Caenorhabditis elegans: one gene and its partner. The protein of the gene in region 1 purifies or fractionates together with the protein of each later gene. This does not show direct contact. Each region holds a gene or a part of one and is shown in the gene's direction. Other genes may lie near its edges.

Evidence for each region.
Region 2: the proteins of sqst-5 (region 1) and Y47G7B.2 fractionate together in Caenorhabditis elegans (co-fractionation; one large-scale study listed by BioGRID). This does not show direct contact.

Annotation. Positions count from the first base shown.
Region 1 is NC_003281.10:146,427-149,765, reverse strand, and holds sqst-5 (ZZ-type domain-containing protein), read left to right. Parts: upstream 1-2,145; 5' UTR 2,146-2,158; coding exon 2,159-2,405; intron 2,406-2,451; coding exon 2,452-2,783; 3' UTR 2,784-2,797; downstream 2,798-3,339. Other genes in the region: fbxb-84 (F-box domain-containing protein), read left to right, coding at 3,303-3,339.
Region 2 is NC_003280.10:2,706,228-2,710,160, reverse strand, and holds the start of Y47G7B.2 (DUF4781 domain-containing protein), read left to right. Parts: upstream 1-2,146; 5' UTR 2,147-2,222; coding exon 2,223-2,731; intron 2,732-2,779; coding exon 2,780-3,032; intron 3,033-3,077; coding exon 3,078-3,285; intron 3,286-3,692; coding exon 3,693-3,933. Other genes in the region: T05A8.1 (SH2 domain-containing protein), read left to right, coding at 822-1,036, 1,082-1,331, 1,374-1,511.

The DNA of each region.
Region 1 (3,339 bases):
TGTGCAGTATAAAACAATCAAGCAGAAAAATGTGTAAGTGGAATTTTAAATCAATTGATAGAGATTCTTCAAGAAATATTTTCAGGGACCTTCTTGAATTGTATAAAAAACTAAATTGCATGTCAGAATCACTGTCAACTCACACGATGAATCTTCCAGTCGAGGAGCGTACTGACTTTCTGTCCTACAATCCTAAATATGAAGTTGATCTTGAAAAACTAGAAATCTTAGAGCAACTCGGAGACGGTCAGTTTGGACTTGTTAACAGAGGATTGCTGCAGAAAGTTGATCCCCACAGCTTGATCGAATACAAGATTCGATTGCAAGTAGCGGTTAAACGTTAGTTAAATACTGTTGAATTTGTGATGAATTTTGATCTCATAGGTGCAAAAACAATGAATAACTTGGAACAGCAAAAAATGATGGTAGACGAACTGAAAGTGATGTGTGCTATTCCAAAACATCCAAATGTAATTGCTCTTGTAGGAGCTGTCACTAAACAAATCAAAGAGTGAGTAAATCAAAGAGTGAAAGACAAATCAAAGAGTGAAAGAGTGACAAATAATCCAGATTTAGCATAATGGATTAATCAAATTTCAGTGGTTTCCTTTACGTTATTACCGAGTACATTAATGGTGGTGATCTGCTTAAGTACCTGAGAAAGCTTAGAAGCCATTTTAAAAACGAACTTTGTAATAACGATATAGTTTTACATGTGTCTGAAAAAGAATCATGTGAAAAAGAGGAACTTCTTGTCGATGCGTTTGATTCGCTGTCAACTTCTGATTTGTTATCCATTGGACTACAAATTGCAACTGGAATGGAATGGCTTGCCAGTGTTCCGGTGAGCACAGCCAGTTGATTAATTGCAATAAATCTTTAATTTCAGTGTGTACATCGTGATTTGGCATGCAGGAATGTACTAATAACCAAAACCAAAATTATTAGAATTGCTGATTTTGGGCTCACAAAAAGTTTGCTAGCAAATCATACTACAGGTCTCCAGTCTCCAAAACAAATCTTGTTCAAATTTAAAACTTTAGATTGAAAACCGACACAGTCCTTCCAGTACCAACAATGTCCTCAGAAGCAATCGATGACTTGAAATTTACTGAGAAGTCTGACGTTTGGTCATTCGGTCTATGTCTCTACGAAATTTTCACTTTGGGTGGAACTCCTTATCCCAATTGTGGCTCGATTCAAGAAGTCATTGAGTTTATTGAAAATGGGAATCGAAATGCACAACCCAAATACTGTCCGGATGAAATGTAAATATGTTCATATATTCTGAAAAAAATCTCTAAAATTTTAGCTATAAGTTGATGAAAATGTGTTGGAAAACATCTCCAAAAAAACGTCCCACTTTTAAGGAATGCGTCAAGTTTTTCAAAAATTACATGCAAGAGGAGGTTCGATTGAAACTAGAATTTTCATGGGAGGCAGGGGTAGTTTTTACGCCTGACGCAGGGGTCCTTGCTTTCTCTAGTTGGAGCTATAGAATTTATTGACTAACTAACTTTTAGCAAATTAGATGTATTATATTTCAGGTTGTACAAAACATTGAAAGAAAACTGCAATTTGAAAGGGAAGAGCAACAGGAATTGGATTCTTGGACTGGAAAATCTCTCAGAGCAGAAGGAGTAGAGGATAAAGAAACTGAAGTGTTGGATAAACTGTAATTGATTGCAATAAATAGTACACATACATACGTTTGTATGTATAAAAAAGTATATTATACTAAACATTTACTGTTAATTCAATTCGTATTTGTCTCTACATTTTCTGATTTTTGGTATACATGATCTGCCACAAAACGTTTCACAAACTCAACTTTCACTTCCAGGCCGTATGTTTTAGTTTTATTATCAATTCGCCCGACAAAAACTCTTATCGGTGAAAATGTACGTGTGGCTCTATTGATTTGAGCTTTTTTGTTAAATTTTTTTTTGTGGTGTTTTTTCTGTAACCAGTCCTGGTTGTTAGCTGTCACTTCCTTTTTTATGCTTATAAATGAAGCTTCAATATTTTTTATGAAGCTTCAATATATTTTTTGCCACCAACTCTAATAGTATTGCAGTTTATATGTATTCTTACTGATAACATAAGCGTTCTTTGGTTTTGAAGTTGATTTTTCATCTTATTTAGAAAATTGTTCAGCATGACTTTAACAAAAGAAGAAGAGCTGGAGTTTATTCCACAAGAGCGACGTCTCGATGTTCTGGTTAACGCCCAGAAAACAATTTGTGAAACTAAAGAAAAGAAAGGGCGGATAGTTTTTGTGACATTCGCCACAAAATTCGACAAAAAAGTGGTTGAAATTACCTTAGATGAAGAGGACCCGCTGAGCCAGTTGTACAAAACAGCCCAGGAAATTTTTCCTTACTTCTCATGGCGGTTTTGTCTTGGTGAGTGATAATAACAGGAATCTTGCATGATATCATCCTTTTTCAGATGAGCCAACCAATCTCATTGAAGGCTTGTCAAACAAACGCCGAGTTTTTGGTAGTATCAAGCAATCCCGTTTCTACAACTTTCTCTATCTTGTCATCACTCTCTTACCGACTTATCATCCATTCGACTGTGACGAGTGCAAGGCAGAATGCAACTGGAATAATCGATACAAATGCACAATATGCGCCGATTATGACCTTTGTAGGCAGTGTGAGGCAAAAAACTTGCACGCAAATCATGCAATGCTTAGGATTCTCTCTAGTGATACCGAACTACCTAAATATATGTATATGAGTTCACCCAGTTTTGTTTCTGAACACTGTTCAAAATAAATTGTTATATAATATACCAGCCGTGGACCGCACCTCCGACGCGGCCCCAGACTTCTGGGGCTGAAAACTAATTTTTCTGAAACTACCGTAACCCTACAGTATTTCTACCGTACCACTATTGTACCACTACAGTACCCCGACTATATCCCTACACTAACCCCAACTCACTATCCCCACAGAAGCCAAAACTTCACAGACTACAAAGACTACATAGACTACAAACTATGGACACAATAAGCGCTTTATATATAGTAAATGATTTTTTTTTAATGTGCATAGCAAACAGGAAAAACAAATGAAAGTTGCGCGGATGAGCTCAATATTGGAAATTGGTTAGAACCAAGTAGACACTACGATTTATTGATCAATGTACCATGTTTCAAGTGAGACTGGTTTGCTCTTTATCTAGTGGAGTGTTCATTCATTGCGCAGCTGGAATGCGGTGTCTACTCGATCGATTACCAAGCGTCTGCTGGGCCACCAAACCTCCCATTCCAGTCATTCATTCCCTTTACAACCATGACGAGTGGTTTCCCACTTCTTCGATTACCTTCAA
Region 2 (3,933 bases), on another chromosome or scaffold:
GATCTTCTGAATATTCTTTCGAAATCTTTGAAAGAGTTGCTAAAAAAAATTCGTGAATGCACGAACAAAGAAACATTGAAAACACTATTAAATAAACTAGAAAAGTGGTTACTATCGGACAGTTTTTATTTAGGTAGACCTGCATAAATAAATCAAACAAATGATTCATATATTTTCAGGTGTTCTCAAGCTACTCAAAGAGTTTCAGAAATTCATCCAGAAAATCTGCAAAGAAGGGAAGTATCTTGGCGAACGTATTAACAATAACGGACAAATACAGGTATTTTATAGAATTAATGATACCAAAGTTCTTGTCATTTGTCTATCCGAACTACTCTACGCACCAAGAGACGGCTATGATTTGCATTCACCGTGCAGGCCAATCAGAAAAATAATCACAATGTTTGTAACAAGTATGGAAAAGGTGAAATACTGGAAAGAATCGCGGTGGCCAATAACAAAAAACCATGGCTGTTTTAAGCCATTCTAAATTTAATTTTTCACGTTTTTTTCCAAATTGTAATTTCAATAAATGTATATGTATTTGAACATTGAAAGAAAACAACTTAAAAAAAAAGCAAAAAAGGCAACCGGTGCGAGTCTGAAAATTTGTGTGAAAAATACTTTCGTCTACACTTTAATTTTTCGCAGGTTTAAACTTTTCTTACTGACAAGAACGTCAATATATTAAGGCTTAGCAATACTTTCCAACGCTTCCTCATTCATGGCACTGATAACGTTTTTATACGACAGGGCTACTTCACTATTTTCTTCATTTTTCACATTTCTTCCTAATTCACATTTCTCCAAGCAGAAAATTAATGTTTTCTGCAACTCTGTCAAAAAGAGCACCGATCGGTGGATCTGGTCCACACCGTCTGATAGAAGATAGGAAGGAGTACTGGTATGATCCTCGTGTTGACCGAATTGTGGTCGCTGCTGATCCACCGTGTAGCGATGCGCTGGAAATGATTGCAAATTTCAATCCTGATGCTCCGGCACTGGATTTGAACGACCTTCTTCGGATATTCAAAGCGTAAGTACCCAAGACCTCAATTTTTCTAATAAGTACCTTTTCCAGTCAGCAAAGCAACGCGTTCAACCCAAAATCCCGCACCGACGGGGGCAGCTATAACACCAACGACAAACGTGTCAGTAGAGCTTCCTCTTATTCATCACAACTACCAAAAGGAACTCTGCAAGAGCAACATCCAAACGTGTACCTGAAAGACGAGCGGAATCCAAACGGTCGGGGAGGTGTCCACAAGGCGTATTCATCTAGAGATCTGTTTTTTGAACTGGTGGTGATGCCTGATAGCTTTAAATTTACTGTAAGTTGGAGCTAAAGGTAGGATGTACCTGAACGTTTATAGACCGCTGTGGTAGCAAACTGCGCAAAGGAAGGTCTTCTCCATTCCCTGATCAGACATGGAAATCAGTTCTGCAACCTCCCGAACAACGATCTTGTCCTGAAAGACATTCTAGACGTGATCCCAAGTCACTTGAGGTGAAGGCTCTTCGAGAAGTGAATGATAAATTGGGGAACAAGAAGTTGAACAAGAACCTACGAATGAAGGAGGTCACGGATGACGATTATGAAGGTGAGAGTAACTGATAAAACGTAGATCATACTATTCAATTTTCACAGATCTATTGAAACTATTGGGAGAATTTCACGTCTTCATACAACGAATTGTCCAGTCGAAGAACTACCGCGGGGAGCGTGTGAACACCAACGGGCAGGTGCAAATCTTTTGGGACATAAATGGATCTGACTACCTAGTCCTCGCTGTTTCCGAACAATTGTGGAATGGAAAACTCGAGTACGACACTACAAGACCGCCACGACCTATTAAGACAATTATTACTATTTTTGTTACATCTGCACAAAATGTAAAGAAAATTAGAGAAAGTTGGCCAGTGACAATGCAATATAAATAAGTGTGATGTGATTTTTATTATATAATATATATAAATGAAAATATAGAATATATCATTCTTTGCATCATTTTTTATATTATCATTTGCCGGAACTAAATTTCAAATTGGCGTCGACAAGTGAGAGACGCAGGCATACCGCGTGTTTTGTTTTTTACGTCTGCGTCTCCACCCTCACTATGGACAACAACAATATCATTGCTCAGCCTTAAAAGTTTACATGTAAACACCGCATTCCGTTTTCAATATTCATTCTTTCCGTCTTCTGCGAACGCCTCAAAACAATGGAGGCACATATTGCTGCTAAAATGGCCGTAGGTTCAGGCGGCCTACTTTCCACCATGCTTACCAGACTTCTCGGTCCGAAACTCGGAGCTTATGTTTCTACAAGGCTCGGAACAGTCCTCGGCACCAGGCTCAGTGCCCTACTCGCCACAAAGCTTGGTGCAATCATTGGCACAAGTACTGCAACGTTGGTTGTTGGTATGCTTTCATGGGCGGTTTACCTTGGAAGCATCGGATATTGTGCTTACGCGCTGATCAAATTATTTTCTTTACACAGAGGGATCGCTTACTCGTCAGATGAGAGAAAAACTTCCTCGAGTCGTGCAAATTACCAAAGTACTCCTGAGAGCACGAATTCTTTGAATCGTACATCAGAATATTGGTATGATCCCACTTTCGATCAAGTCGTCAAGTCTAGAAATCCTCCGAGTCAAGAAGCGATTCGTGTGATCGGCAATTTCCAAGAAGATGGATCGACTACGGAGGAGATCTTTGAGCTGTTCAAAGCGTGAGTTTCTGCCCGGTACTTGAAGGTCTGACCTCTAACATCTTCCAGACAGCAACGCGATGCCTTCAACCCGAAGTTCCGCTCCGATGCGGGCAGCTACAACACGAGCGATAAGCGCTCCAGTAGAGGTGGTTTCTACTCATCCCAGGAGCCCAAAGACACATTACAAGATCGTCATCCGAATGTGTTCCTTCAAAATGAGCAGAATCCCAACAACAACAACGGGAAGGTTGAGAATCTCTATGCTTCAAGGAATCAGTTCTGGATGAGCATCGTGGCTCCGGAGAATTTCTCGTATACGGTAAGGAGTAATGCTATTAAAAGAAAATTTTTCAGCATTTTTCAGATGGTTGCCCTGGCGAACAATACACGTGAAGGACTTCTCCATTCATTGATTAGACATGGTCATGAGTTCAAATTTGGTGAAGATCTTCTGGATGCGCTTCCGGGAAATCTGAAACAACTGGTGCAACAGCTCAGAAAGGAGAACAACCGCGATCTGAATATTGTGCTAGAGAAGGAGATTCAGAAATTGTCCGAATCGGAGTATCGAGGTAAATATTAAGAAATGTATTTGGATTTTGGTAAAAATGCTCTTACTGTAGGGTGGGGGTTGCAGAAAGGGTGATGTAGGATTTCTGTAGTATTACTGTAGGAGTCTTGTTGGATTACTGTAGCAGCACTGTAATGGCGCTGTAGTTGTACTTTTGGGGGTGCTGTAGCATTACTGCTAAGGTACTATTAGAATACTGTAGGTTTGCTGTCGTTTCTGTGAGGCCACTACATGTGTTACTGAAAGGTTACTGTAGGATTACTGTAGTGGTACTGTAGGAATACTGCTAGGGCACTATATAAATATTGTTGTACATATTGTTACTGCTGTTCAAAACGCTAGGCAAAAGTATGAAGGTACTGTAATGGTACTGTAGGATTACTGTAAGCAAACATTTTCTGTTTTCAGATCTGCTCAAGCTCTTGGAAAAGTTCCAAACCTATATCCAGCAAATCGTTCAACGCGGAAATTACATTGGTGAACGTGTGAACATCAACGGCCAGATGCAGGTTTACTGGAAAATCAACGATAAGGAAGTCCTGGTGACGGCTCTTTCTGAGCAGTTGTACTGTGGAAATGTGCAGTATGACGCTGGAGGAAGGGCTCGACCAATTCGGAAAATTATCACTTGTTTTGTGACGAGTGCTGA